Pelodiscus sinensis: one gene and its partners. The protein of the gene in region 4 interacts with the protein of the main gene of each other region in a pairwise test. Links are inferred from orthologs where the notes say so. Each region holds a gene or a part of one and is shown on either strand. Other genes may lie near its edges.

The links.
Region 1: the proteins of HOMEZ (region 4) and LNX1 interact in binary tests that used the Homo sapiens proteins (3 or more experiments, as listed by UniProt). The link is inferred for Pelodiscus sinensis from reciprocal best matches to the Homo sapiens genes HOMEZ and LNX1.
Region 2: the proteins of HOMEZ (region 4) and MRPL11 interact in binary tests that used the Homo sapiens proteins (3 or more experiments, as listed by UniProt). The two-hybrid records come from large-scale screens. The link is inferred for Pelodiscus sinensis from reciprocal best matches to the Homo sapiens genes HOMEZ and MRPL11.
Region 3: the proteins of HOMEZ (region 4) and RPL9 interact in binary tests that used the Homo sapiens proteins (3 or more experiments, as listed by UniProt). The two-hybrid records come from large-scale screens. The link is inferred for Pelodiscus sinensis from reciprocal best matches to the Homo sapiens genes HOMEZ and RPL9.

What each region holds. Positions count from the first base shown.
Region 1 is NC_134715.1:85,860,294-85,868,289, forward strand, and holds the start of LNX1 (E3 ubiquitin-protein ligase LNX), read left to right. Parts: upstream 1-4,996; 5' UTR 4,997-5,152; intron 5,153-7,996.
Region 2 is NC_134721.1:32,294,476-32,302,072, forward strand, and holds the start of MRPL11 (large ribosomal subunit protein uL11m), read left to right. Parts: upstream 1-4,595; 5' UTR 4,596-4,753; intron 4,754-4,796; exon of another isoform or gene 4,797-4,817; intron 4,818-6,375; 5' UTR 6,376-6,387; coding exon 6,388-6,510; intron 6,511-7,597. Other genes in the region: uncharacterized protein LOC102453925, read left to right, coding at 779-816, 915-1,009.
Region 3 is NC_134715.1:92,988,904-92,996,678, forward strand, and holds the start of RPL9 (large ribosomal subunit protein uL6), read left to right. Parts: upstream 1-4,770; 5' UTR 4,771-4,884; coding exon 4,885-4,930; intron 4,931-5,008; coding exon 5,009-5,124; intron 5,125-7,093; coding exon 7,094-7,189; intron 7,190-7,456; coding exon 7,457-7,589; intron 7,590-7,775. Other genes in the region: LIAS (lipoyl synthase, mitochondrial), read right to left, coding at 1,770-1,942, 4,141-4,229, 4,265-4,340.
Region 4 is NW_027465928.1:42,001-49,862, reverse strand, and holds the start of HOMEZ (homeobox and leucine zipper protein Homez), read right to left. Parts: upstream 3,007-7,862; 5' UTR 1,319-3,006; coding exon 890-1,318; intron 716-889; coding exon 602-715; intron 1-601. Other genes in the region: PABPN1 (polyadenylate-binding protein 2), read left to right, coding at 4,822-4,903, 5,859-5,926, 6,012-6,118, 6,212-6,299, 6,505-6,656, 6,848-6,887. UniProt on the Homo sapiens protein: May function as a transcriptional regulator.

The DNA of each region.
Region 1 (7,996 bases), on a different chromosome or scaffold from region 4:
TATCTTGAAATCAGTTCCCCCAGAACCCCTATTGGGCCCACTGGTAATTAGCTTTTAGTAGCGCCTGATCATAGAAACACAAAATTTTGCACAGATACTACTGATTTCCTAACTTAAATAACTGTATTGGTTATATCTCGAAATCAGTTCCCCTAGACCCCCAGTTGGGCCCCCAGAGCCCCAATTGGGCCACTAATTTGCTTTTAGTAGTGCCTGATCATAGGCATTTGCTGGACTCTTCTGTTAAGCGTGTCACATAAACTGCAACTACGAGATCTTTTCCCTATGATAACAGAAAAAGTATTTCCAATAAAATATCTTATGTTAACATAATTTACGTAGTTCATTCACCACACCTTTTGTTATCAAGAAATGAGTTAAATGTAAATGCATTTTGTAAGCACATCACTAGCTATGTTAATTTCTTAAAGTAATATATAAGAGAAAAGTATTTCCAATAAAATATGCTATGTTAATGTCATTGACGTAGTTCATTCATCACACTTTTTACTATATTTTCCTCAGGCGACGCCAGGTATTTCTGCTAGTATTTTATAAATTTAAATAATGGTTGGGGTCTTTTACTCCTATTTAGTGCAATATCTCATACAAAAAATGATGAATTGTGCAAATATCACAAATAACTGTAAAAGGGGTACAGCATATCAGTGAGTAGCCAATTGTACCAGCTAATCTTGCATTTCATTTTCTAGGCATTTCTATTTTAGAATAAGGAAAGTAATGGAACAAAGAATAATACTGAAGTCTACATGATAGCATGCTGCATCCACTCTACCTCATAAAATAACTACTGCCTCTGCAGACAGCAGTTTTCCAGAAATGTAAAGGTATGGTATAGAGAAAATTAAGCCATAAATTATATAGCAACATATACACCACATAGTTCATTTCAGCTTGGTAGAGCCTGATCCAAATCCCACTGAAATCAATGAAAAGATTCCTTTCATTCCATGGGCTTTTTGTTAAAGCCGTTAGACCTGTACATCAAGACAAACTTTACTTCCCATAAAAATTCACATCACAGAAAATCTTGCATTATGCAAACTGCACTGAGATAAGCTCTCTAAAGTCATGTGTACACTGGCACAAAAGACAGCTAACTTGGGTTCCCATGGTTTAGGTTATGGGGCTAAAAATTGTTGTGTAGGTGTGCAGCTCAGTGCAGAATCCACCCTTCTACTTCACCAGGTGCAGAGCTCAGAGTCCACTCTGGGCCTGAATGTCTACCCAGCAAGTTTACAGCCCCAGCCCTGTGAGCCCGAGTCAGCTGTTCCAGGCTAGCCCTGGGTGTTTAACTGCTGGGTATACATACCACATAGGGCCAGTTGTGAGGGTCCTTCATAGAACTTCACAGTACAATGTGTTTTTAGTCTGGCATCACTAGACTAGTTGTTAAACGAGAGTCCGTAGTGCCATCTCCTAGCAGACTGGTACACCATGCTCAGTGGTCATGAGAGAATCCATAGTAAACTCCCTTTCCAACGTGGCACAATCCACCAGAAAACTATGCCCAGGTTTTTAAATCTGATTTAAAATGTTAATTCCCTAAAAGAAGGGATGGGTGAGGAGAATAGAAACAAAGACAATGGCTTTAAACCTAAAGCCGTTACTAAACTGGATGATGAGGGACCATTTCCAGACTTGTCTTTGCCCTTCCAAACTCAGTGGGCCAGATTCAGACCTGGTATGTATGGAAACAACTCAATAGAATCAAGAGATTTTTCCCCCCACATTTATGCCCAGAGCTGAAGGCAAATTTTGGCACTCAGGAAAATTCATCCCCGGGTTTGGACTTGTAGATAGCATCCAACATTGCAGAAGAGCAGTGAAGGGGACTGAAGAAATTATTATTCAAGTGACTTTGCATCTTCTCCATTTTGCACAGCTTAGCTCCATGCCCTTTCACCCTAGCCCAGCATAGAGTATTATAGGGACTGTTTTTGCCAGTCCAAAGTTACAGATATCTATTGGCTACAGTTGGAAGGATGGGCTGTAATAGTGCCCATCAGCAAGCTGCACAGATGAACACACACTGGTGTCAATCTGACCCTAGCCTCCATAGAATTTCCTAGAGAAAGTTCCGATGTGTGTGAGGAAAGGCAACTTCACCATTAAGGTTAGGAGAAACTTAAGTTGAGGCTGCGTGGGAAAAAAACTAATGCTCTCATCAGAGCTCAACACAAATAGCACCTATCCTATAACAATATTATCTAACATTTTGCTTATTACAATTTTCAGTAATTTGACTGGACTAATTTGTAGTATACTGAGTCTACACCATGTGCCAGTAAATATACCAGAAGCTGAAGTAACTTAACAGAAGGAAATGAATAACTGAATGTACACTATGCTGTCCTGATGTAAATACTTTCAGCAGTTTGGAAGTATAGAATGACTTCAATTAGAAAGGCTACACATTAAAATCAGATGTTGTGTGTTCAGTCAATTGATGCAAACTGTATAATGTGTTAAAATTAAAGACAGTAAAACTGTAATGAATCATTTTTGTTCTTTTGATTTTGCATCCGACAAGTGAACTTCTAAATCATTAGGTGGAATTTCATTAGTTCAAAGAAGCATCTAGTGTACTCAGCCTGGGTAAATAAGAGGCAGATTTAAAATAGGACCTCACATAAAGACACATCACCAGCCCTATGGCCCTGATTCTACAAAGCACTTAAGCATGTGCTTAATCATTGTGGAAGTCAAAGTATATGTTTAAGTCCCTTTGTTGAATAAGGATGGACTTAAGCACTTGCTCACAGTTAAGTATGTGTAGTTTAAATACCATTTTAAAACTCAATTGTATATAACGATGACATTTCATTAGTAAATATTTAGTTTAGGTTTTGTAGTGATTCACTGCCATTCAGTTTTTAGTGTATTTTGAAGGATAAACAAAGCATCTTACAGTATGAATCAAAGGACAGATGCAAAGATCCATTAGTCACAAACATTTTCATTAGTGACAACTGAATTTTTGTTTCGACATGAGGTAGAATAGCTGTAGAATCAGTGTTTTTTAATGAAAACATCTTCTTTTAATCTTTCTTAGGGAAAAGCAGGCATGCTGGAAGAGTGTTTATAGTGGGGGTTCTGAAAGCCACTCAATCAAACTGTAAACTCTGTGTATAATGGAAACCATTTCAAATCACAGGGTGCTGCAGCATCTCCCACACTCCTCGTTCCAACAATTATGAGTTGAAGGCCCTGTATTTGTAATGATTCATGTAATCACTACATTAGTTTTCTGCCAATGAAAATATTCTTTCAGACAAAAGAGATGTTTTTATTTTTATTGTAAACATTCATACGTAGTCATTTCACTGCAATGCTGTATACCTGTACAGCTTTTTATCTCTTTGATATTCATGGTATTTTCTCTTTTTTAATTTTTATCCATAAAATATACTCTTTTTTTGGTGGTTTAGTTGGCTTGCTTGCTATGGAAGAGTCAAACTTGAAATCAAGATTATGAAGTTTGCTCTTAATTTTTAAAAGAGTAGTCATTCTAGTTCTGATTCTTCATCTGCTGACTCCTAAAGGATTATTCTTTTAAATTGAATGTGGGTTTTGCATTATTTTCTTTTTGCATGGTTCTAAACTGAGCTATTTAAACCATTCTACTAGCAGCCTATAATTGGTCGCTAGCACTTGACCGAGTATCCTACTATCCAAGTGGATAATGGTTTTTTTGTTTGTTTCAAGTATGAATTGAAAAGAAAGAGAGATGTGTTTTGCTTACGTACCACTATCATATTATGGGAAAGGTACTGTGATGGTCTTTCAGAAATGAATATATACGTGTATTTTAATTGTGGTTTTGCTTTACAAAAATGGTATTCTAAATAATAGTCAGCACTTACATTGTACTTTTCATCTATTGCTACTGAAAAAACATTAGAAGAATTAAAAGCCAGTGAAATAGGTAAATATACCCATTTAATGGAGGATAAACTTTGATAGTTAGGATAAAGGAGACCTGCAAAGTGGTGGAGGGGGAGGGACAGAGGAGAGAGTGGAATAGATGTAGTCTTTTTTTGCTGCTGTATGTTTATATAATATGGCTTGAAAGGTCTCTCTCTCTTTTTCTCTTTCAAAAAGGCTTCTTTTTCATATTAGAAATAATCTAGACCTGAAACTCTCTGATGACTGGACATTAGTGAAATGGTGACATCTCAAGAGCCAAAAAAGTGCAAGTTGAACAATTGTGGGGGAGGGGGAAATGATTTCTAATAAAACTGTCTTTAAATGTCTTTTTTTTAGCTGTTTCTGCTAACACCTCTATAATTGCATTGACTAACATTATGGATATAAAGGAAGCTTTTGCTCAAATTCAACATCTTTGTCTTTTCAATTAAGGCCTAAGATCTTACAACATTCTCTGATTCTTCCCAGAGGCCCTTCAGCAAAAACAAGGAAAACCCATACCTGATATTTTGATTAGTTTTTTTTAAAGGGCCTCTTTTATGCACTATTAAGAAGCAGAAAAAGGGGTAAGTGATCTTATACATGATTTGTCTGGGAATCCAGCAAGCCAGCAGCAGAGCAAGGATTAGAACCTAGGATTCTAGGTCTGTGTCCAAAGCTCTCAAACTAAACTGAATGAAAGTTACATTTCAAAAGTTCAAAAGCAGAGCTAGGGTTGCTCAGTTTTTTCTGGCTTCATCTGCCTTCTTCAGGGGGAAACAAAAACAAAGTTTTGTCTTGAACCAGTCCACAGGTTTTCATTCAGTTGTTTTAAACCTGTACTAAAAGTTGATCAGATGGAAAAGCTATACTATAGTGAAAAGCACAAAAATCAAATGGAATGTATGTTGAAAACTAAAATCTACAAATGACTTTTGCTATCTGATAAGTCTGAACATGCAGGTGTGAGCAGCCTAGGGCCTGGTTTGCCAAAGCTTTAAATTGCTTATGAGTGTGCACTGAAGCTTGTCTTTTCTACTTTTTGTGATGTCAGGCATTTCCTTATGTGGTGCGACCAATAAGAGTTTTCTTCTTACAGAAATCAGACTGAAAGGTAAAACACCATTGTTGGGCAGAAAATCTGCCAAAGTTCATTAAATTACACCTGCAGGAATCTAGCAGCAGCAGCACAACTCTGTATAAATGAAAGTAAGACAGAAAGGTGAGTTTAAAACATTTTGTTCTGACTTTTAATCTTCAGTTGGCCACATATTTGTCTAAAAAACAAATGTGAAAGGAACTGATCATGTGAACAAAATACTGTACTCTTTTAGAGGAAAGGACAGTTTAAGGATCAATTAGTATCTCCGTCTTTATAATTATGAAATTACTTGCTACCATGGCCTCAGCAGTGACTTTTTATTACTTCATACGTTTAGTTCAATCTCTTCATAAATTAAAATGCTGATCAATTTCATAATCCATAGGAAAAGGCTTGTAACTTAATTGCAGTGTAACAGTGTTTCTTCCTAACTGATTTTAAAATACTCTTCTGGTTGGAAAGGATAGTATCAGCCTTAATCCACAAAATCTCTGTTTGCTAGTTGTGTTTTGTTTTGTATTTGTACATTTCTAAGTAAACTTTCATCTGTGGTAAAGTATGTTAACATCAAAATGATATCCCTTCAGATCAGAATGTTGAACTACCTTTGAAAAGATAAATTATTTAATTCAATTTGTGTTGGTTTGCTTTTGGCACATACAGTCTTCCACTGACTAACTTAATCTCACAGTCAAGTTTTAACTTAAAGCAACTAAAGTTTTTAATGATATAGCTGCAGACTGTGACCTGAATCCTTTACATAGTTACACTTGTGAATAATTTATGCATATATTAGCAGTCCCATTAACTTTTATAGGTCTTTTGACCTCTGCAAAAGTTCACAGGACTGGACCCTGTATTGGCACATACCTGCTAATGCCTCAATTTCAGCAAAGTATTTAAGCATGTATCTACATCCATCCCATTCCTGCAAAGTACTTCCAGAGATTTAGTCAAAGGGAGTTATCAGGTGCCTGGAGTGTTTTGCTGGGTTGGGAGGATGGACTGCTGAATTGAGGTCTTAGATGCATAGCTATCTCAGAAATATCATAAATAGAGTATTCAGAACACAGCTGCAGTAATTCATGCTTTCCATTTATTGGCAAACATATTGGTAACAAATTGTTCTCCCAGCAATAAAAAGAGCAAGACTGACCTTAAAAGTTCTCACTGGGGAGCTACATCAGTTGATTGTTATTTATTTAATTTTATTTTATTTTATTTTATTTTATTTTATTTTACACAGAACTGCGCTGTGGAATCCTATGTAAAGATTGAGGATCCGGTTTTTCCCTTGAATCTATTTGTATTTGCTCAGTCAAATTCCTACAGTACAACACCAATAGCTTGGCAGTTGTCCCAGTGAAATAAAACCTGTGCTTTATATTATCATCTATTGTTAAAACAAAAAAATCACTGATCTATAAAATGGAAGGCTAGGATTCACCACTGGGTTATATAAGGCATTTGAAAGGATGCTTTCTTTGAGAAGTTCTACACTAAATGCTCTAATCTGCTTTTTTCCTGAGATAATATTGGAAAATTCTTCTCAAGGAAGTAATCTGTTAATAATTTATTATCATATACTCTTTCACCCCAAAACTCTGATTGTATATTTTCCAAAAATATAAATTGAAACAAGCTGTCTGTTAGCCTTCTCTTGCCACCTGAAAATATTCCTGCCTCCACTGTCAATTCCTTTCACTCACTTGGGACTCATCTTGTTCTGGGTTCCACAAACATTAGTGCTATTTAGAGGTTTGTTCTTTGCTTGTGCGTTTGGGCGTTAACTGCTGCAGTGCTTTATCGTAGCACTGCATTAGAAAAAGAGAAGGCCCTTGACTCAATATCGTGCTTATTTATCAGAGCTGAAAATTTAAATTTCCTGTGTGAGCATTCTGAAGAGTATCCAGTATCTCTCCTAGGATAACATTTTTGTACAAAATGCCAATAAAGTACGCTCACAGGATGAGATGGTAGATAAGCTTCATTGCATTGTAGAACATTGAATTACTTTGTTGAATGTAAGACTATCCAATAGCTCAACGTTTTTTTCAAGCAGGAAGACAAAGGGACAAATTCCAAAATGCAATATTTCAATATTACAGGCCCTCTACGGGAAGTGAGGGTGAGGGGTAAATAGGTCAGTTGCTCTGGGGCCTGGGGCTCAGTGACAGCAACCAGAGCCCCATGTCCTTTAAATCACTGCTGGAGCACCGTGCATGCACTCCAAGCAGCTCTAAGGGCTGGGAATGGCCAGCATGGTGTGCTCTGGGTGGCAGTCAGAGTCTTTAGTCAGTACAGGCAGTCCCCGAGTTACGCGGATCCGACTTACGTCGGATCCGCAGTTACGAACAGGGCACTTCCTCTCCCTGGTCTCGAGCAGACCAGGGAGAGGAAGCAAAGCGGCGGCGGAACGCGCGGCCAGCTGTTAGCTGGCCGCGCGCACCGCTCTGCTTCCCCCCCTCCCCCCCCCCCGTCTGCAGACCAGGGGGAGGGGGAGCAGAGCGGAGCACAGCAGAGCGGCGGAACGCGCAGCCAGCTGACAGCCCAGACGCGTCTGGGCTGTCAGCTGGCCGCGCGTTCCGCCGCTCTGCTGTGCTCCGCTCTGCTCCCCCTCCCCCTGATCTGCAGGGGGGGGGGGAGCAGAGCGGAGCACGCGGCCAGCTGACAGCCCAGATGCATCTGGGCTGTCAGCTGGCCGCGCGTTCTGCCGCTCTGCTCTGCTCCGCTCTGCTCCCCCTCCCCCTGGTCTGCAAACCATGGGGGGGGGGGGGAAGCAGAGCGGAGCACGCGGCCAGCTGACAGCCCAGACGCGTCTGGGCTGTCGTTCCGCCGCTCTGCTCTACTCTGCTCCCCCTCCCCCTGGTCTGCAGACCTGGGGGACGGGGAGCAGAGCAGAGCAAAGCCGCGGAGCCCGAGGGCAGCAGGATAGCCACGGCGCGTCTGGGCTGTCCTGCTGCC
Region 2 (7,597 bases), on a different chromosome or scaffold from region 4:
GATTTCCCCCCAGAAATGTATACCCTGACTGCTCAGCCCTGTAAGTCCATTATTCCTTTAAAGGAATAATATACACACAACTTGCCTCCCTAATGGAGTTACACAGACTCCAACTTAAACCCACCAGAGTAGATACAACATTCGTTAACTACACAGAGATGTAAGTGATTCTGAGCAATAAACATAAGAGTCAGAGATGGTTACAAGAAAAATAAAGACAAAACACTTTCTAGTGCCAAACTATATGAGATACAAAGTAAAGTTTCTCACCACATGCTTCCAATGGCATTGCTGACTGACTTTTTCAGGTTAGACCCCCTCCCCAGGGTGCAGCAGCTGATTCCTTTGCCTTCCCAGGTGCAGAGAATGAGATAAACAGGGAGATGGAGAAGCATGGGGGGGATGCTTTGTATGGTTTCAGTCCCTCTTTGAAAAGCATTTCCAGCTGAGACCCAAGAGACAGGGAGCTTGGGGGAGGCAGGAGATCTCATGCTCTTTCTTAACATGCAGATCTCATTTAAAGGGCCGTGGTGCAAGGACCCGTCAGGGTGTGTCTTCTCTGTGGAGGAGGAGGTGGGTAGCAGGCAGTTCCACAGGGTGGAGCAGGTTGGCCTCATTCTCCTTAGAATAACACAGCCCACTCCATGGACTGGGGGGAAGGACTGGATGGGCACTGAGGCTGGGATCCACCTGTGTTCAGAATGGTCCCTCGGAGCAAGTAGGGGTTTGCCCAGCTGGGAGTGCCCTGACTCTTCTATGTTTGTGCTTCCTCCTCCAGGATACCATCGCAGGAACCTGCAGCTTGCAGTTCCACAGGTGAGGAGATGCCTACAGACCAAGACAGGCTAATACAGAGCTGGGAATAGAACCTAGGAGTCTTGGCCACACCTGCTTACTCCATTTTACCCGAACAGAGTTCTGCAGTGACGCAGAGGAGCTGAGAGCAGACCTGGAAATGGTGCTGAGGGAGGACCAGAGCCTGGATGACCAGGACGACTTCTACGACTGAGGGAGGGATCCAGCACAGGTGGGTCCCAGTGAGACAGGGAAGATCTGGGATGTGACTATCTCCACGGCCTTGTGGGACACAGAGACAGTGTTGGGAAGCTGGCCTCTAGGGGAGTATCTAGACTACAGGGTTTTGTCAACAAAAGTGGACTTTTGTCAACAAAACTATACCTGCGTCTACACTGCCACTGAGTTCTGTTGACATAACGTCGACAGAACTCAGCAGTTTTGTCGATGGCTGTAAACCTCATTCTATGAGGAATAACACTTTTTATTGACAGAGTTCTGTCGACAGAAGGCATTACTGCATTTACACTGTCCTTTGCGTCTACACTGTCATGTCGACAAAGCAGCTTGCTTTGTCGACAGAACTGGATGTAGTCTGGGCGCTCTTTGTCAACAGAAGCTTTGTCGACAAAAGCCTGTAGTCTAGACATACCCTAGGGTGGGAGTGACACATGGACTGTGGATTCCCCTACCTTGCAAAGTATGACCCCTCCTGGGGCAGCCCCTTGAGTTTAGGGGAGGGGTGAGCTGGGAAGGTTCAGACTTGGCACCACTAACTTTGGAAGGAGGGCAGAGTGGAGAAGCAGGAGTTCTGAGGGGTACTTCAGCACCACATCCTCCCTCTCCTCCCAGAATGCATTATGTTACTCCTTCCATGGACCCCCAGCACCCACTTTCATCTTGCGAAAGCTGGATGTAGATTCATAAATGATAGCTAGGTTTGCAAAATGTTTGGGGCTGGTGTAAAAAAAAAAAGCGAAATGATTTACGCTTGCTAAGGGTCTGGCCCTTTAGCCCACCCAAGCATTGACCTCGGTTCTCCTATCCCTTGGCAGCCATGTAAATCCGGAGTGACTGCATCCCTGTCTGCGTGGTTATGCCAGAGTGAAATGAGTGTTGGTGGGAGAAGACTCAATGCGGCTGGATGGAAATGGAGTTAATGTTCATGTTACAGTGCAAAGGTGAAATTAAAGCCTACCAGGAGCTGAGCAATGTGGTTGCAGCACCTTTGAATTTGAAATTGTACCATTTGTGTTTCACTATTTGCTCTCCTGCTGCTCTGGACCATTCAGATTTTCCTACGAAATAATACTAGTCCTTGAAGCTGGTGGAAGGTTTTCCAGATCAATGTTTTTCCAACCAAAAATGGCTTTTTGACTAAATGAAAATCCCATTCTCTCCCTCTCCCCTCACACCCCACCTGCCCCTTTAAAAAGCTATATTTGTCAAAACATTTCCAGGGAAAAACTAAAATTTGCAACTTTCAACGACAACAAAAAGGTGTGGGATTTTTTTGTAGGGAGATGAGGGGAAATGTGGATCAGGTTTGTTTGTCAAGCAGCTGTTCTAGTTACTTTAAGAAGGGCCAACAAATATTCCAGAGTGTCTATGTGCAAGAGAGATTCTATGTTGTTTTTTTATTACAACGAGTAATCCTGTGGCACCTTAGGGTATGTCTACACTGCATTCCTCTTTCGAGAGAGGAATGCAAATGCAGGTGAACTAAATTGCAAATGAAGAGCGGATTTGAATTTCCTGTACTTCATCTGCATAATCGCGTCCGGGCGCTATTTTGAAATACCTTATTTCGAAAAAAGAAACGCTGTCTAGATGCGGTTATTTCAAAAGAAAACCCTTCTTTCAAAATTACCCTTACTCCTTATACAATGAGGTTTAAGGGTTATTTCGAAAGAAGGGTTTTCTTTCGAAATAACCGCATCTACACAGCGTTTCTTTTTTCGAAATAGGGTATTTCAAAATAGCGCCCAGATGCGATTATGCAAATGAAGTGCGGGAAATCCAAATCCGCTCTTCATTTGCAATTTCGTTCACCTGCATTTGCATTCCTCTCTCGAAAGAGGAATGCAGTGTAGGCATAGAGAGACTAACCAATAGGGTGTATCTACACTTGCAGCCTAATTCGAACTAGGGCTGCAAATGTAGGCATTCAGAATTGCAAATCAAGCCCGGGATTTAAATATCCCACACTTGATTTGCATCTTCTTGGCTGGGCGCCATTTTTTAAATTTACAAGCCCAAAGTAACTGCCCGTGTCTACACGCGGCAGTGAAACGGGTGTTCGAAATAAAGCCCTAGTTCGAACTACCTGTTATTCCTCCTGCAATGAGGTTTAACAGGTAGTTCAAACTAGGGCTTTATTTCGAACGCCTGTTTCACTGCCGTGTGTAGACGCGGGCAGTTACTTCAGGCTTGTAAATTTCAAAAATGGCGCCCAGCCAAGAAGATGCAAATCAAGCACAGGCTATTTAAATCCTGGACTTGATTTGCAATTCCAAATGCCTACATTTGCAGCCCTAGTTCAAATTAAGTTGCAAATGTAGACATACCGCAAAATACATATAGTATCATGAGCTTTCGTGGGCAAAACCGACTTCTTCAGATGAGACTGAGTGGAATCACTCTCCTATGGTCTCCATTCAAGTTCATCGGAAGAAGTGGGTTTTGCCCATGAGAGCTCATGATATTATATTTATTTTGGTTAGTCTCTAAGGGTGCGTATACACAGCCCCCTTATCCTGAAATAAGCTATGCAATTTGCACTATGCAAATTGCGTAGCTTATTTCAATGTTTTTTCTAAATAAAGCACTATTCTGAAACGTCCCTTATCCCTTGTGCAATGAGGTTTACAGGGATGCCTGACTAGCGAGCCTGTTATATTTCGATATAATGGGCTTGCTCTTAAGACAATCGATATTTTGGGAACCTGGAGGTATCCCGAAATAGCTCCACTGTGTAGACATAGCCTAAGGCACCACAGGACTATTCATTGTTTTTTAAGTCACAGACTAACATGACTATGCCCCTCTGAGATGTTTATTGTATTGTGAGTTTTGTGATATTTGTTTTTTCCCTTTAAACTCCAGCACCTGCACTCTTGGAATTACAGAAGAATCTCAGCATTCATTAAAATAAGTAATTAAAAGTCAGTTCTCCTGAGTGTGGAAAAAAGCTTTCCCAAGTGCCCCGTAAAGGCTCAGAAATCAGAAGACAAAAATCATCCCCTCACGTATTTACGTTAAAAACGGATCTTTGCCTGGGTTTTCGGGCCACGCTCTTATGGGCATTTAGGCTTGGCGTTGCTCAAGACTGCCTCTGTATGGCATGTACAGGGAATCTACCTTTTGGGGAAGATGCCACACGTTTGCTAGAAAGCCTGGAGGAGGCGAGAGAAGGCACTGGGAACCGAACACCTTGGGTTACAAAGCTTCAGGGGGTAGCCTAGTCAGTCTGTTACAGACAAAAACAACAAATGGTCTGGTAGCACTTTATAGACTAACAAAACATGTAGATGGGATCATGAGCTTTTGTGGGCACAGGCCACTTCATCTGAAGAATGAAGTATTTTGGGGGGTTATAAAGAATAACGAGCTTGGATGGCTCGAGCTGCTCCCTGGAATAAACCAGAGCACTACATGTTCTTGTCTGTCTCACCTGTTTTGACATGGGAACTACCTTTCCCGGCATGCACCTGTGAGGGGAGACACCCGCTTTCAGCATGCACACGGAGGAAGGAAACTACAACTCTTGGAGCATGCCCTTGGAGTAGCACAGGAAGAGCTAGTGAGAACTACATCGCCCGGCATGCATTTGGGCGCGCACGTGACTGGGAGGGAACTACAGCTCCCGGCATGCCGTTCGCCCAGCCACTTGCCCTAGTATGGCTGCGCCCAGGCTGGGCTGAGCGGCGCGAGCGCGGTTTATAGTGGGGCTGAGCCGGTGAGTTCCGAGCGCGTGGGGCGCACAAGGCAGCAGCCGGGTCCCGGAGGTGGGAGGCAAAGGGGTGAGGTTCAGGGGTTTGAGTAGTATGGTGGGGGGCTGAGCTGTGTGCTTGGGGTGTATGGGGGCCCTGGGGATTGGGGGGCTGAGCTGTGTGCTTGGGGTGTATGGGGGCCCCGGGGATTGGGGGGCTGAGCTGTGTGCTTGGGGTGTATGGGGGCCCCGGGGATTGGGGGGCTGAGCTGTGTGCTTGGGGTGTATGGGGGCCCCGGGGATTGGGGGGCTGAGCTGTGTGCTTGGGGTGTATGGGGGCCCCGGGGATTGGGGGGCTGAGCTGTGTGCTTGGGGTGTATGGGGGGGCCCCGGGGATTGGGGGGCTGAGCTGTGTGCTTGGGGTGTATGGGGGGGCCCCGGGGATTGGGGGGCTGAGCTGTGTGCTTGGGGTGTATGGGGGCCCCGGGGATTGGGGGGCTGAGCTGTGTGCTTGGGGCGTATGGGGGCCCCGCGGATTGGGGGGCTGAGCTGTGTGCTTGGGGTGTATGGGGGCCCTGGGGATTGGGGGGCTGAGCTGTGTGCTTGGGGTGTATGGGGGCCCTGGGGATTGGGGGGCTGAGCTGTGTGCTTGGGGTGTATGGGGGCCCCGCGGATTGGGGGGCTGAGCTGTGTGCTTGGGGTGTATGGGGGCCCCGCGGATTGGGGGGCTGAGCTGTGTGCTTGGGGTGTATGGGGGCCCCGCGGATTGGGGGGCTGAGCTGTGTGCTTGGGGTGTATGGGGGCCCCGGGGATTGGGGGGCTGAGCTGTGTGCTTGGGGTGTATGGGGGCCCCGGGGATTGGGGGGCTGAGCTGTGTGCTTGGGGTGTATGGGGGCCCCGGGGATTGGGGGGCTGAGCTGTGTGCTTGGGGTGTATGGGGGCCCCGGGGATTGGGGGGCTGAGCTTTGTGCTTGGGGTGTATGGGGGCCCCGGGGATTGGGGGGCTGAGCTTTGTGCTTGGGGTGTATGGGGGGCCCCGGGGATTGGGGGGGCCGAGCTGTGTGCTTGGGGTGTATGGGGGCCCCGCGGATTGGGGGCCGAGCTGTGTGCTTGGGGTGTATGGGGGCCCCGCGGATTGGGGGCCGAGCTGTGTGCTTGGGGTGTATGGGGGACCCGGGGATTGGGGGGGCTGAGCTGTGTGCTTGGGGTGTATGGGGGCCCTGGGGATCGGGGGGCTGAGCTGTGTGCTTGGGGTGTATGGGGGCCCCGTGGATCGGGGGGCCGAGCTGTGTGCTTGGGGTGTATGGGGGCCCCGGGGATCGGGGGGCCGAGCTGTGTGCTTGGGGTGTATGGGGGCCCCGGGGATTGGGGGGCTGAGCTGTGTGCTTGGGGTGTATGTTAGAGTGGTTGAGTAGGGGGGTATCTGTATGGCTGTATAAGAGAGCTGGGAGGCACTACGACCATCAAGGTGCAGTGGTTTCTAACTTTGTTGTGGCATGAGCCACAACTTGCTGAGGTCAATGGCACCTCCTCAGTACAAGAGGTGCCCTCCCTAGTGCCAGCTTGGTGGGTGCTAGAGAAAGCTGCCAGTTTCCCTGGGGCTGGATGTGTCCCTGTGACTTCCCCTCACCTCTGTACTCACCTCGCAGCCGAGACTCACCATGTCAAAAATCTCCCGTGCTGCCAAAGCTGTGAAGAAGGTCAATCCCGGGAATGTCATCCGAATGATCATCAGGGCAGGGCAGGCGGTGCCGGGGCCTCCCCTGGGGCCTGTCCTGGGTCAGGTAGGCCAAGCCCCTCACTATATGTGTGAGCTGGGGTGGGGAGTGCAATGCTGGGAGGGTCGGGATGTTTAACGAGTGGCATGGGTTAATGAGGTTCTCTGCAAGGTCAGCGGGTGTGTCTAGGACAGCGATGCTCCAAAATAATTCTCTCCCCAAGGTTCTTGATGCCTCCTATAGCCACTCACAAGATGGGGTGCTCAAGGCTGTGTGATCGGTGGGAGGGATGTAATAGTGTAGTTAACCAAAGCTTATCCATTAATGCTATAGAGTAGACTACATGTGTTTCCCCACCCCCACCCCACCAGTAAATTTTTTAGCAGCTGGCCAGCAGCCCGGCTCAGTCCTTGCTTGTTCCAGATCCAGGACCTTCCCCCGCTGCAGCTCTGTGTTTAAAGTGTATTAGGAGCCAGGCAGATAGCCCGGCTCAGTTCTGGCTTGTGTCGGGTCCAGGAGCTCAGACCCACCCTGGATAGGGGCTGCTGCCTCTGTATCAGAGGCAACAGCCGGGGGGCAGCAGGCAGCCAGTATGTGAGGGAAGCTGGTTTTTAAACTGGCTCCCCTTATGGACCAGCTCCTGCCTGGCACCCCCCACTGCTGCCGCTGACACAAAGGGAGTCTGTGGCTTGGAGTCTTGGTGCAGCCCAGGTGTCTTTCTCTAAATCTTCACTCCAGTCAGCAAGCAGCTCTGGGTAGGATCCCCGGGGGGGATTAGCCAGCCTGCGTGATACTCAGGGTCAGACGGCAGGAGCTGAACGGGCCCTTCTGGCCTTGACATCGGACTGCACAAGCACCTGCTGCACCCGATCCCACCGTGTAGCTCCCATACTGCCCAGCACGGTGCCTGCGTGTTGTCACGTTTGCCGCTGCAACCCTGTCCATGCTGCTGGGGCTCCAGGCTCTGCTCAGACAATGGCTAAAGGGCTGAAATGCTCCGCTGGCTGCAGCTGCTGCTTGTACAAAGGTAGAGCCCAGAGGCACCGTTCTGCTGGGCGCTGTGCACACCCCTCCCCTCTGCCCGGCTGAGATCCGCCCGGGCGGTGCAGGGGCTTGGATCATACCCAGCACTGCACAGACTCACCCCAAGAGA
Region 3 (7,775 bases), on a different chromosome or scaffold from region 4:
GGAAGCAAACTTTGCCTATGTAATCTTCTTTACAATATTGGGGGCCTAGGTTTAATTGCAGAATCTTTATTGTTGGAGACGCATGAACCAGAAAGAACCCAGCTTGTCTTTAAGATTTCAGACTGACTTTGTGTAGCTGGAAGTCCCTAAAAATAATCTATTTAACTTGAAAAATGGACATATTTGATCTCGAAATATTTGACACACTAAACATAGTGTTCCAAAATGTCATTTTTATCATAACTCTTTCAGATTAGAACTAAATTTTATAGAATAACACAGATTGTCATAATAATACATGGGTTTGTATAAAAGATGGATGCCTATAATTCCATAATGTATTATTTAGTGCACTAAAGCAATTAGCAGCTAATATGAACACGTCCCAACACAAGGACTACAGATACTACATTAAATTAGGGCAAAACTTATACCAGGGCTGATTATATTACTTCTGAATGAGACTTTATGTTACTACTGACTTTACACAGAGTGGTTGTTACTGAACACTACTAAATTACTTATTAATAAACCACATACAACTGTGGTGCAAATTCCTTTTTACCATGAATACATTCAGGAATAGGTTAAAAAAAAATCAAACTTGCCAAAATCATAAGTGATTTATTTAGATCTGTGAACCTTCAGTATTATTTTATTCATCAAGTAAGTGATTCCTTCCCCAGCTATAATTAAAACAGAGCTATGTAGGTGGTATTTTAGGTATTAGGGTTTTTTACTTGTATTTATAACAGTTAATCTTATCAATTGTGTTAAAATTACTATTAGCTGTCTTATCTACACGTGTTGTGCTTAAAGAGGTCATATAAGAACTAATACTTTCCCCTCTTCAAATGACCGTTCCTTCTAAAATGAAGTATGAAGTAGCCATTCCGGTACTACACAAATTGATAAAAACAATATGGTACATGAAGGTATTTGTATACTGTAGAGTACCCAGAAATATCAAGTACAGTAAACTTCCGATAATCCGGCACCTTTGGGACCCAGGGGGTGCCGGATTATCAGATATGCCGGACTATCGGAAGTGGGGGCTATGAGGGCTCTAGGGTGGTGTGGGGGGGATATCACTCCAAACCCCTCATAGCACCCCCTTCCGATAGTCCGGCTCTGCCCCAGGCATCCCCGATTCAGCCGCTGCTGGTCAGCAACTGAACCTCAGTTGCTCTTGGGGACACCTGGGGCAGAGCAGCTGGGGTGCTGCCGGGTTGGTCCCACAGCGCCAAGGGGCGGCACTACCGGACCAACCCGGCAGCACCCCAGCTGCTCTGCCTCAGGCATCCCCAAGTCAGCCGCTGCTGAAACTGACCAGCGGCTGACTCAGGGAAGCCCAGGGCAGAGCAGCTCTGCCTTGGGCTTCCTGGAGTCAGCCGCTAGTCAGTTTCAGTGGCGGCTGAATCGGGGACGCCGGGGGCAGAGCAGCTGGGGTGCTGCCGGGTTAGTCCCACAGCGCTGAGGGGCAGCACTACAGGACCTACCGGCAGCACTCCAGCTGCTCTGCCCCCGGCTTCCCCGATTCAGCCACTGGTCAGTTTCAGCAGCGGCTGAATCGGGGAAGCCGGGGGCAGAGCAGCTCCAGTGGTCTGGTTGCCCAGAGTACTTCCGGGTTCCTGATGGTGCCGGACCATCAGGAGTGCCGGACCATCAGATGCCGGACCATCAGATGCCGGACCAATGGAGTTTTACTGTAGTAAACAAAGTATGATACTACATCAGAGTAGAGTATAATTACTTAAAACTATAATTACCTTTCTCCCTTCTGGCGTTTCAGATTGCCTTTATACTCAGCCCACATGCTCTTGTCTGAAAAATCCCCAGATACAAAGTCTTGCAAATCAGGTCCATCTTGCAGAAATTCCTTCTTTTCATCTGGCAAAGAACCTGATGCTCTGTACTGGCTGCACCCATGGCTTCCACATACCTAAACAAAGCAGAACTGTATTATCTATTTAATTATAAATGTGCTATATGTATTGGATATATGCTAGTGTACATCTCTTGAGAGGTGAAAGGACTTATTTTAGCTTCATACAGAAGCTAAAAAGTTAACAATTTACTTGAAGCATGTAAATAAATAACAGGAAAGACTTCAAAAACAACAATAGACTAGTAGCACCTTACAGACTAATAAAACATGTAGATGGTATCATGAGCTTTCGTGGGCACAGCTCACTTCTTCAGAAGACAGGAGTGTTAAAAGTCCAGATCCAAGAATAAATAAGGGAAGGCGGAGGGGGGGAAGAGAAGGAAAAGGAGGGGAGGAAGAAAAAAGAGAGACAGTGAGTAGATAAGCTTCAGAGCGGTAGCCGAGTTAGTCTGTACAGTAAAAACTTAAAAAACAACAAATAGTCTAGTAGCACCTTAAAGACTAACTAGTTGTACCTACTTGTACAACACTCCTGTCATCTGAAGAAGTGGGCCATGCCCACGAAAGCTCATGATACCATCTACATCTTTGTTAGTCTGTAAGGTGCTACTAGTCTATTGTTTTTTTTAAGTCTTTCCTGTTACAGACTAGACTCAGCAATCCCTCTGAAGTAAATAACAGTTCATGATGGGCAGGCACTGGAGGAAGAGCAAGCTGTCCATCCTAAAATTTAAGATAATAAATTATTACTGCCTAATTATTTAGAACTACTGTGGAAGATTTATTTTCACAATTTAAATCTAAGTTCCATCTTTGGAAGTTTGTGCTCAGCTCTCCTCGATTTAAATGGGAGCTACGAGCACATACCCGATAGCAGAACTTTTGCTCATTTTCGAGTACAATCATTTGAAAATCCAGAACAGGCAATAGGAACTCCAATCAGCAGATGGAGACTGGAAAATAACATTTCCTGGTCTCATTCCCTATAAAGGATGCAGCAAAGCCCTTAAGTTTCAAGAAGTGAAAATCAAAACAAGGGAAGAAGCTGAACATGTAAATGTGAACAAAGCAATAAGCAATAAAGTGGTGTCTCTGTCAGCACTGCTTCCTGCAGCTCCCATTGGCCAGCAATGGCAATCTGCGGCCAAGAGGAGCTGCTAGCAGCTATAGCTGCGGACTCAAAGGTAAATAAAGCATCTGGCAGCCTGCCAGGGTCAAGCCCTGCTGAACCTCGTCCAGCCTGCAGGCCGTTTATTGCACAGAGTCTGGGGTCAGCTCCGTGCGGCACTACTTGGTATTCAAAGGGGCAGCGCTGCATGGACTCTGGGGTCAGCTCCATGCGGTGCTGCTTTGAAACACTGAGGTGACATTTCAAAGGGGTAGTGCCACATAGCTGAGCCTGGGATCAGCTGTGCAGCGCTGCCCCTTTGAAACATCACCGGAGCGTTTGTGTAGAGCCCAGGGTCAGCTGGAGACTCCCCAGTTGACCTGGGCTCTGAGTGGCATTTCAAAGTGGCAGCACAGCATGGAGCTCAGAGTCAGCAGGGGACTCTGAGTCCCTCCTTAAACCAGGCTCCATGAGGATGCTTCCGTTTTGAAATGCACAAAACCGCTGGTGGGGACTCTTGTACATTTCAAGCTGGCACCTGCATGCAGCCTGGAGTCAGCGGGACTTCCTGCTGGTTCTGGAGCTGCATGTGGAGTTCCGCATTCCCAAAATGTAAATCAACTACTCAACTAATAAATTACTTAATATTTAACATCGTTACTCCTCCTGGCATCTCAAAGCAGAGTTCAGCTGCAGGCATAGCGTGGGAGAGTCCTGCCATTACTGCTACTCTTCCCTCTCCACAACTGAGCTCTCACACACCACGGAGGATGCAGAAGAAACACAAAGCAGCAGTGTCGCAGTCAAAATTCTTCTTCTCAGCTCCCTGTAACTTGAACAATCTAATTCCCATTTTTTTTCTTTTTACCCCTCCCTTATTCGATCTGGGCTGTTAATGCTCCACTCATCTGGAGAAATGGGTTGTGCCCACGAAAGCACAGGGACAGGAACCAGCCACTCGGTGCAGAGCCACGCCCGGTAGCAGGAGGGCTCGGTCTCAGGGGGACGAGACGCGGCTACTAGCCAGGCGAAGCTACAGCCACCAGGCAGGGCGGGGGCGATGCACGGAGCCGCGGGGCGAGCGGGAAAGACCCGGCCGAGGGGCGGCAGCTGCCTGGACCGGGCCACTCTCCAGCTCACTCACCCGCCCCTGGGGCCCCAGCAACAGCAGCCTCAGGCTCGTCATGGCGGCGGCGCCACAGCAGCGGCCGCGCGGGAGCAGCGCCATGACCCCTGGGCGGGGAGGCGCCGCGGCCTCGGCCGCTCGCTTTCTGTCCCCCTCCGAGCCCTGAAGAGCCGTCCCGATCGATTTGTTCGGAACTCACCGGATCTGCCTGCCCCCATGCCCTTTTTGCGCGGGCCTTGATGCGCTCGGCGGTCGATCGCTCCTGCCTCGGAGACGGTTGGCCGAGCGCGATGACGTCAGCCTAGGCGGAGGGCCTACAAGAACGCGATGACGAAAGACGCTCTCCCTTTCCTTTCGGTCTGCAGCGAGGTGAGGAGTGTTTCTGGTTCGCAATCTGCTGCCATCCGCGGCCCCGGGGCCCTCTCGCGCTGCGCCGCTGCCGGGCCCGGCCCGGGGGGGCTCTAAGGGCCGTTGGGGCCGCCCCGGAGAGGCACTTGGCCCCGGCCCGGGGGAGAAAGCCCCGGGCACAGTCACCCCCCCCCTCCGGGAAGCTAGGCCGGGAGCCGGCGCTGGTGCCCTTTTCCCGAGCCGCGCGGGGGCTGTCGGGCCGGGTCTTAGTGGCGGTGGCCGGGACGGGTCGGAGCCCGCTGTGTGGAGCGGCCGTTGCCTTGGCCTGTGGGTCCCGGTTCGGGCGGGCTGGGCAAGGCGCCGTGCGGGGCCGCTCTGTTGTCTCTGCCCTCACCCTGTGCTTGTCGTTGTAGAATGAAGACCATTCTCAGTAACCAGACTGTCGACATCCCGGAGAAAGGTACAGCCCCTTGCTAGTTCCACGTAGGCCTTGCGCGCTCGCCCTGCCGCGCGTTAACTCGCTTTCCTTGTCTTCCAGTCGACATTTCTCTGAAGGGCCGGACAGTTATTGTGAAAGGTCCCAGAGGAACCCTGCGCCGAGATTTTAACCACATAAATGTAGAACTCTCCCTCTTGGGAAAGAAGCACAAGAAGGTGAGCACAGTCAGGGTCTCTAGGGCACTAATTTGGAACCCTGCTCTGCCATGAACTTCCTATGTAATCTGTAGAAAGTCACTTAACTGTGCTTGTTTCAGTTTTTGTCTGTTTATTTTGACAACAGTGCTTTCTGACTTCACTAGCTGGTGTGGGACTAAAGATTGTGGGCTGCTCAGCTACACTGATAGGGATCATGCAAGTTTCTAAGAGGCTTGGAACTTGTTGGGTGTTAAGGGTTCAGTTCTGCTCTGCAGTCAGGTATTATCAGTGTCTGTCATTAGGCATGCTGTTTTTGGAGGGGTGAGGGTTCAGTGTTAACATTCTGTGGTATGTATGTAGTTAGAAATGTGGAATGAACTAATCCATTTTCTGAAAGGCTTTTGGTTTCCAAAATAACAAAGTATTTAATTTTAAACTGTAACTACATGTAACTAGCTAGGTAACCTAGAATTCTTCTGCTGTGATAGCTCAGTACATCTGAGTTAAATTGTCTTGGATGTGTCATTTAATGACTGTATCTGCCTGGTCTGCTCTTTGAAATGTGTCTTCCAGTTATGCTAAGCAGGACATGACTTTGGAGGAGTGCTCGTTAGTACTTTATTATGTACTCCTTTCCAAGTTCAGTTTCTTTTTGGTGGTGATTACAAGGAAGCTAGATAGAAAGCTTGATTCTAGTTACTGGGAAGGAATATTTCCAAGTTTCTCTAAGTAAAGCACCCTAAAAACATTTCCTTAACCTTGAATATTTTTTGAATGAATTTTTGACAAGATGAGAATTAAAACCCACATAAAATATTTGAGAGGTGAAGAGTATGGCTTAGCACATCTGTGTTTTTGTTTTAATGTATAGATTAAGAAATATGCCACTGTCAGGGCTGCTTGCTGATATGTAAAATTGGTGAATACTTTTGCTAATGAACAAGCACAAAACTTGCTATCCATAACTATCAGTGTGAAGAGGTCAGAGATTGGAATGTATATAAAAAGGAAATGAGCTTCTTACCTGGAGAATCCATTCAGGAAAAAGTTTATGGACCAATGCTAGGAAGTTCACTTTACTGCCCTGTACTTTCCATGTACAATAATTGGCACTCATACATATCTGTCATCTGAGTGTTTTAAAGCACTTTGCATCAATACAGGTTAAACCTCTATTATCCAGGACTCTGGTCTGCCAATATCTGTGGTCTGGCAGGACCACAGAGCCCCAACTGACCAGCTTCAGGAACAGGGCTGGCAGGTGGCAGCGGACTAGCCAGCAAGGTGGGGGAGCACAATCCTGGCACTGTGGGAAGTGGAGCCCTAGCAGAACTGTGGGGCAGGGAGCAGGCTGGGAGGGGAGCCTTGATCTTTGGTCCAGCAAACTCTGAGAGTGGTCCTAATGATGCCAGACCAGGGAGGTTCCACCTGCATTCTTAAGTGTTAAAGCCTCCATTTTGCAAATGTGGAGATGGATTTGCTGACAGTTACACCAAAACCAGTGTAATTCGTTATAGTGTTGAAGCAAAAAATCACTCCTCTCTGTTTAGGCAGCTAACAAACAGCTTTATTAATTAATAAAGCACAGTATGAGCCAAACGTGGTCCCAGCAAAGCTGTTAATACAATTAATTCTAGTATTTTTATACCCTTAGCCAAACAGTTTGACGTCAGGACATCCAATTACAGAAATCTTTAATTACATTTGGAAAAACAAAGTCTTATTAACAAGATGGTGGACAGGTACAAGGGAGTACATCTCCTGTCCCAACCAGCCCAATTAACACATACCAATAGCCCATCCTGTAGGCCTTTTTTTACGGGGTGACAAAGTTTACTTTGGTCTATGTGCTTGAGAGAAGCTGAAATGGTTTCTGATATACAAGATGGCTTCTAGTTAAATATAAAAATGGTTTCTACAGCTTCTACAATAGGAAACATGTTAATCCTGAATTGAAACTGAATAATTGGTTTAATTTTTATTATAGCTACGTGTTGACAAATGGTGGGGTAACAGAAAGGAGCTGGCAACAGTTCGAACAATTTGCAGCCATGTTCAAAACATGATCAAGGGTGTCACATTGGTAAGTTTTATTTTGAAACAGAATATTTGTCATTTGAGTCTTCAGAATGAAGTTGTCTGATATTATGAGAATTTTTTAGCTATGCTAAATGAAAGATGCTATGTACAACAGCGTGAATACCTTTGAGACTCAATTCTTCAAAAGCTGATCTAACACTTCATCATATTTGTCCAGTAGCTATTAAATATAGTTCCTAGTTTTGCAGCCTGCTTGTTCTATGACATTTTAAAGTTCACTTGTAATACTTTTTTATTTGGTTACTCCCAGGGCTTTCGTTACAAGATGAGGTCTGTGTATGCTCATTTCCCTATCAATGTAGTTATACAGGAAAATGGATCACTTGTGGAAATCCGTAACTTCCTGGGAGAGAAATATATCCGCAGAGTGCGCATGAGACCAGGTAAGTATAGTTAGAGGTCTTGTACATTGCTAATTGAAGTAGAAAGTGTAGATCTGAGCGTGATGGGCTAGGGCTTATGGCTTGCCACTGTCCACATCAGACCAGAAACAAGTGAGCTCTAAGTAAAAGAGTAAAAAACATCAAAATGCATATAGTTGCTAAAACATACACACTTCAAAGATTCCC
Region 4 (7,862 bases):
GGTGGTGACCGATGGGAGGGGGCATGTCTTTGGTCTGCACCCGCCCCCATCCTAGCCCAACCCTCCTCCCAACCCGCGATTCCCCTTTTATCCCCCCCATCCCCGTTCCTGCCCCCATGGCCACAGGGCCCTAAACTTCGAACCCTCCTCCCCCCCCCGCACAGATCCCCCAGAGGATCTGGAGGCTGCAAGTGGGGCCTCCCCGTGAAGTCTCTTCTCCACGAGGGGATGGCTGTGCACCCCGCTATATGAAGTGGATCCAGCCACCCTCTCCATCTCGTGGGGGGCTGGGGGGGCCCTCGGCCCGCCCCCCGCCCCGCAGGACGTAGTTCTGACCCTCGTTGTTGTCCCACAGCTCCTGGCCCCCCACGTGGCAGTGGAGGGCGAACTCCAGGGCGCCCCCGGGGGGCAGCGGCAGGCGGAAGGCAAAGCGGTCGGAGGGGGGGCCGGCCAGGAGCCCGGCGGGGGGCCCGGCGTAGGCGGCGGGGGCTTCCCGGTAGCTGGCCCAGCCATCCCAGGTGTAGCGGACGCTGACTCTCTTTTCGTAGGCCAGGTTAAGGACCCGCAGGGTCCCCGCCACCCCCAGCCCCCCGGCTCGCACCCCCTCGAGGCACACGCCCTGCGCCCCCAGCCGTGCCCCGAAGTCCGGCAGTCCCAGCGGGTCCCGGAAACACGGTGCCAGCGGCAGGCGCCCTGCCTGTGGGTCCTGGGGGTCCTGGAGAAAGCCAGGGTGGGGGGAGAAAAAGAAAGAGAAAGTTAATGTGCAGTTTTCCACCTTGGAGCCCAACGCCCCCTACTGGGGACCTGCCCCCCAACTCTTGTGCACATCCCTCCACTGTCTTCTCCTCCCGTATGCTCCCCCCCGCTTTCTCCTGCCCCCCCCCATTACCTGGCTGGGCGAGAAGAGGGGCCGCAGGGGGGCGAAGTGGCGTAGGGTGTCCTGCCGCAGCTGGGTGTGCACACGCTCCGGGACCTGGGGTAGCTCGGCTGGCCAGTAGCGCCTCACGCTCACCAGCTCCAGCCCCAGGGCATCGGCGAAGCGCACCCGCTTGCGGGCGCCGGGGCTGCGGCTGCGGGAGCCCCCCCCAGGCCCTCCGGCCGGGGCGGAGCGGGCCCTGCGGCGCCGGTGCCCCCCTCTGCCACCCGCCCGGCCCTGGCGTCCCCGCGGCCTGGGCCCTCGCGCCCGCCCCTCGGCCTCTGAGTCGGAGTCGTCGCCCAGGCTGGGCCGGACCGTGCGGTAATATGCCCGCTCGTACAGCCCCGCGATGTAGCTTAGGTTGCGTGGGATGTCACTGGCGGGCGGGGGGGCGCGCGCCATGGGGCCTGGTTCGGTCCGCGTGGGCACTGGCTTCTTGTGCCGCTCCTCCCGGGTGCTGAGTCCTTCTGCGACCGTCCCAGCCCCTGCCTCGTTCTGTCGCTCTGCTTGGAGGCTGAGTCCTGCGACCGTCCCAGCCCCTGCCTCGTTCTGTCGCTCTGCTTGGAGGCTGAGCCCTGCGACCGTCCCAGCCCCTGCCTCGTTCTGTCGCTCTGCTTGGAGGCTGAGCCCTGCGACCGTCCCAGCCCCTGCCTCGTTCTGTCGCTCTGCTTGGAGGCTGAGTCCTGCGACCGTCCCAGCCCCTGCCTCGTTCTGTCGCTCTGCTTGGAGGCTGAGTCCTGCGACCGTCCCAGCCCCTGCCTCGTTCTGTCGCTCTGCTTGGAGGCTGAGTCCTGCGACCGTCCCAGCCCCTGCCTCGTTCTGTCGCTCTGCTTGGAGGCTGAGCCCTGCGACCGTCCCAGCCCCTGCCTCGTTCTGTCGCTCTGCTTGGAGGCTGAGTCCTTTTGTCACTGGCCAAGGCCCTGCCTCATTGTATTGCTCGGTCCAGACGTTAAGTCCTTCTCTCACTCCGTCTGGGCCTTGTTCTAACTGTCAGTCTGAGCCCTGCCTGGCTCCATCGCTTTATCTGGCCGTCACTATCGCTCCACCCAGGTGCTGAGTCCTACCGCTGTGTCTGGGCCCTGCCTTGTTCTGTCGCTCTGTTTGGGAGCCAACTCATTCTATCACTCCTGGGCTCTGGCTTGCTCTGTTGCTTTATCTGGGGTTTGAATCCTGCTGGCTCTCTGTCCACTCTGCCGCTCAGTCCATCTGGGCTGTGGCTTGTTTTATTGCTCCGTCATGGCGGCGGCTTGTTCTACCGCTTCCTTGTTGCTGCCTTCCTCCGTTGCCTCTTCTGGAGGGTCCGAGTCTCTCTCTCTGCTGAGATCTGACTCGTTCTTTTGCTTGTCACAATCTTCTGTGTTTTTTCCTTCCAAAAATTCTCCTTCTGTTGCTCCGGCGGGGCGCTTTCTCCTACACCTAACTCACTGCCTTCTGCCTTCCTGAGTTTCTGAGGCTCCGTCTCCGTCTGGCCCCTGCCGTCTTCTATCTGTTGGCCTTTGCCTGCTTGTTCCTTTCCTCCTCAGAGTCCGAATCTCTCACGCCAGCCAGATTGGTTTGTTCTCCATGTTCTGCCAGGGACTGGTGGTCTCTCTCTCTCCGTCCGGGGTGCCTCTCGTTCCGTCGTTCCTGCGCCGTCTCCTCCTCTTTCCTCTGATCCCGCTGCAACTGTCTGCCGCTTTCCTCCCTTGCGGACTCTCTTCTTCTCTCAGGGCTGCCTTCGATCTCTCCACCGCAGCTGTCTCATTCTCTCCTTGCCATCCGTCTTTTGGTTGCTCTGGCTGGGCTCTGTGGCTCCGAGGTGGCTTCGCCCGGGCGCGCTCTCCGTCTCTTTCTCCTTCCTCCTCTTTCCTCCGGCAGCCACCCCTCCCTTTCTAGTGTCCCTCCATGTCCAAAGTGGATGGGGCGGTTACCGTAACGTCCCCTCCGCCCAGCCTCCTCTCCTCCCTGTGCCCAGGGATCCCCCTTTTTACCAGCCGGGGCGGGGCAAAGGCTCCTCCCAGAGTTAACCTGGCAGGGACCCAGGCGTCCGGCAGTCTGGGGCCGGGGAGCCAAAGGGCCGAAAATGCTCCAATCTGGGATCAATAATTGATGAGACCAAAGGCAGCTAATGGATCCTGGGAAGCAGGCCAGGAAATGGGGGGGGAGGGGGCAGGAGGGAGGTGGGAATGGGGGGTGGGGGAGGGGGCAGGGTTGGGGGGCAGGAATGAGGGGTGGGGGCTGTGGGGCAGGTGGGAGGTGGGGGAGGGGGCAGGGTTGGGGGGGTGGGGGTGGGGCAGAGCTGGGAAGGGGAGAGAGGGGACCTGGCAGGTGAGGGGTGGGGGCAGGGGTGAGGAGGCGGGGGTCAAGGACCAGAGTTCAAAGGTCGGGGCAGTCTAGCGGGCACTTCCGGGGTTAAATGAGGGCCAGGGGGGTCAAACGCTGGCGGGTCAAAGGTCAGAGGGGCGGGGCCGTTGCGCAGCCAATCAGCGGCTCGGGCGGAAGGGGTCGCAGCGGCGAGGCGGGGCCAACAGCCCCCACCAATCAGGAGGCAGCGCGCCGGAGGGGGGGGGGGGTGAGGCGGCGCTGGGCCAATCAAAGGCGCTAGCCTCGCCCTGGAGCCTCCGGCCAATCCCAGCGGCGGGCGCCAATGAGGGGCGGGCGCATGCGCCAATGGCGTTGGAGTGATGGCGGGCCGGCGGCCAATCGAAAGCGTCGGGTTGGCCCCCCCCGAAGGCGGCCAATCACTTTCGAGCGTGTCGGTGACGGGCGGGCGTCGGCACCAATGGCGCGCGAGCCCCCAGAGCCCTTCCGCCAGGATCTCGCGCCGCAGCCAATCGGACCGGCGGGCTCCTCCGCCAATGGCGCTGGAGACCAGGCGGCTCGGGAGCCAATCAGGGACGCCGGCCGGCCTCCGCCGCTCGCCGCCAATCGGGGACGCGGCCGCCCGCTGACGGACGGGCGCCGGCGCCAATGGCGCGCGAGCTCCGGGGCCCCCGCCGGCCCGCCCCGCGCGGCAGCCAATGGCGCGCGGCGGCGGGGGCGGGGCCCGGCGGCGGCGGCCAATGAGGAGCGGCGCGCGGCGCGGCGGCCCGGGCAGAGCAGCAGGCGCTATGGCGGCGGCGGTGGCGGCGGCCGCGCGGGGCAGCGCCGGGGGCGCGCGCGGGGCGGGGGAGGGGCCCGAGGGGGGGGCCGGCCCCCCCGCGCCGCTGGGGGCGGAGCCGGGGCCGCGCGTGCGGCGCGGGGGGGAGGGGGAGGACGAGGGGGGGGAGCTGCTGCTGGACGGGGGGGGCCGGGCCGGGGGGGGCGCCCGGGGGGGGCCCCCGCACCCGCCCCCCCCCGCCGCCTCCGCCCCGCGCGCCGGGCCCGGGGGGGGCCCCGCCCACCGCCCCCCCGAGGAGCTGGAGGAGGAGGCGGGGCTGGGCGAGGGGGACCCCGGGGACCCCGCCATCGAGGACCCGGTGAGCGGGGGGAGGGGCAGGGGGCATGTGGGGGAGGGGCGGGGGGCTTGGTAGGTGGGGGAGGGGCGGGGGGCTTGGGGGAGGGGCAGTGCTTGGTAGGTGGGGGAGGGGCGGGGGGCTTGGGGGAGGGGCAGTGCTTGTTAAGGGGGAGGGGCGGGGGAATGCGGGGTGGGGCACAACTGAGAAGTGCCCCCTGTGTGGGGGGGATCTAGCACGGGATCTGGGGGGTCAGGGCCAGGATAGGGGGTTGGAGATTCAGTGGCAGAGGGGTTGTGTGTGGGTCAGCATTCAGGGAGTTTGGGGGGCTGGGCAGCAGGGAGAGCCGCAAGGGGGGACTAAGGGCAGCGCTGAGGGGGGATGTTGGCGAGGGTTGTCAAGGGGGGGTGTTAGTCTCAGCCGTGGGGGGTCCCCCCAGCTGACCCCCGTGCCTCCCAGGAGCTGGAGGCCATCAAAGCCCGGGTGCGGGAGATGGAGGAGGAGGCGGAGAAGCTGAAGGAGCTGCAGAATGAGGTGGAGAAGCAGATGAACATGAGCCCCCCGCCAGGCAATGGTGAGGACCCCCCCCCGTGTCCTCTTTAATTTCCCCCTTCCCCCCAGAAATCCCCTTGGACCCTCTGCGGGTGGCGCAGCCAGGGCACGCCTGTGAGCAGCACAGCCATGATTTTATTTGTGTAGGTCCTACGTAAACAGGAACTCTCTTCCTCCCCTCCCCCGCTCTTCCTCCTGGGCCCCTGTGAGTGGTGGGGAATTCTCTGTGTTTGGGAGCCTCCCTGCTCTGGGGCGCATTTGGCACAGGACGACCTAGGTAAATGCTGCTATTTTATTTCTGTAGGGCCTGCATAAACAATAACCCCGCCCCCAATTCCAGCTGAGAGCCCCTTGTGTATTGGGAAGTCTAGAGACACTGAGGAATTATGGCCTCCTGAAAGCTCTTTGTGTAGGACCTACCTAAACGCCACCATCTTCTTTGTGTAAGACCTAAGTACCCAGTACCCCCCTTTGGACTGTGGGGGTGGTGAATCTAGGAGACATTTGGGGGTCACAATTCTGTTTGTGTAGGGCCTATGTAACCAGTAGCTTCCCCCCCCCCATTCTCTTTCAGACTTCTGGGGGGTGGCAATGCTGAGAGCCACATGGGAATTGTGCTTGTTGGATTTTTTTTGTAGGACCTACATAAATACATTTTGTAAACGCCGGCCGTTCATTTGTGTGGGTTCTGTGTAAATGGTGACCATCCTTCCCCTTCAGCCCTCTGGGGCCTCCCAGTGCCACACTCCTGTGCTCGGAATCATTTAGGTAGGTCCTACGTAAATGTTGCCCTATTGGGTTGTTTGCGTAGGGCCTATATAAACACAATTGTTTATGCATCTAGCCACATGAGTTATGCCAGGTAAAGACAGTGCAGGAAGGGGGTGCTCCCCTTCCTATTCTGAAAAAGGGAGGGGCCCCTGGACAGATTTGGGGTACAGCCTCCCTCTCACTAACCCCCCGCTTTGTCTTCACAGCTGGGCCTGTCATCATGTCCTTAGAGGAAAAGATGGAGGCGGACGCTCGGTCCATATACGTGGGCAATGTAAGTGGAGGAGCCATGATGAGGGTGGGGGAGGTTTGGGGGGTTCCAGGGACCCTGTTTCTCAGCCCACGCCCCCCTTTTCCAGGTGGATTATGGGGCGACGGCTGAAGAGCTGGAAGCTCATTTCCACGGCTGCGGGTCCGTCAACCGCGTCACCATCCTGTGCGATAAATACAGCGGGCACCCCAAAGGGTGAGTGAGCTTTCGGGGGCTCTCCTGGGGCGGGAGGGGTGGCTGGGTCCCTGTGCTTTTGGGGTGTCTAACGTGGGATCCCCCTACCCCCAGGTTTGCCTACATCGAGTTCTCCGACAAGGAGTCTGTACGCACCTCCATGGCGCTAGATGAATCCCTGTTCAGGGGGCGACAGATCAAGGTGAGTCCTGCACCCCGAAACCCGGGCCCTGAGCCCCAAGATTGGGCTCAGATCCTCTCCAGGCCCACAGCAGCATTGCCTCAAAGCCCTGTACCAGCCAGAGATCTGTCTCTGCCCCCCAGAGCCTGCCCCACCAACCAACTCTCCTCTGGTCCCCCTTCTCCCTGTCCCTGGGGTGCTCCGACCCTCCTCCTCTGCCCCCCAGGTGATCCCCAAACGGACCAACCGGCCCGGCATCAGCACCACAGACCGAGGCTTCCCCCGGGCCCGGTACCGAGGGCGCGGTTCTGGCTACACCAGCTCCCGGGCCCGGTTCTACAGCGGATTCAACAGCCGACCCCGCGGACGCTCATACAGGTCTGGGGGGCCGGGCCGGCGCAGGGCAGGACGCCTGGGTTCTCTCCTGGCTCTGTGAGGGGAGTGGGGGGTAGTGGGTAGAGCAGGGAGGGGCTGGGAGCCAGGACACCTCGGTTCTTTGGTTGTATTGTCTCTTCCTTTCACCCCCCCCCCCGGCTTATTAACTCGTTCCCTTCTTCTCTCCTCTGCAGGGGCCGGGCGAGAGCAACCTCATGGTATTCCCCTTACTAAAAAAAGTGTTTTTTGGGAAAGAAAAGGAAAAAAAAAAAGAAAAAAAAAAAAGAAGAATGTGACAGTGCTGGAGCAGCCCCGTGGGGGCGAGCCGTGGGGCGCGGTGGGCGGGCGGGGCTGACCGGGGCCAGGCTGGTTCTCTGAGCAGGGTCCTCCTCTCTCCTCCTCTGCTCCCCCTCTCTCTGCGGGCGGCCCCATCGCTTGTCCGCCTGGGTCCTTCCTCCGGCGCGTCGCTTCTCCCCGTCTCGCTCCGGGCGCCCCCTTCCCTCCGGATCCCCCCTCAGCCCCCTTCCCTCCGGATCCCGTCTCAGCGGCGCCCCCTTTCTCCGCCCGGGGCTCCCTTGTTCAGGACACGACCGGATCTTCCCATCTCTTTCCTTTTCTTCTCCCCACGCAGGGCAGGACACACCCCCGGCCCTGCCCCTTCTGCCCCCGCCCGGCTCTTTCCCCTTCTCCGTTCCCTCCATCCGGGCTGGGGCTGTTACCTGCCGTATTTCAGTGTCTTTATCTTTGCAGGTGGCTTTAGCCTGAAGGAATTGTCGAGCCGCACGAAGCTCTTGCGACCAGATTAAATATGGGGGGGGCAGAGTGGGGGGGGCTATTTCCTCCCCCCTTTATTTTAATTTCCAGGCTGGGGGGTGGGGCTAGGGCAGGGGGGAGGGGGGAAAAATAAAAAAAATGTTATGAGGGTGGAAAAAAAATAAAAGATGTTTTTTGGAAGAAAGAAAAGGGGGTGAGGTGATTTGTGGGGGCAGAACCCTGGGGCGGGGGAGCAGGTACCAGCACTCCTGGGTTCGTAGGGATCAAAGTTGTATTTGCCCAGGGGCTGGGCTGAAGCCCTCCTGGCCTCCCCCAACTCACTGAGGGGCCCTGAGCTGGGGGGGGTGGGAATAGGGATCACATGAGGGGTGGGTGAAAAGGGCCCTTGAGGTTGGCTGCTGGGGTCCAGGGAGGGATCCCAGGAGGGAGGGCCCG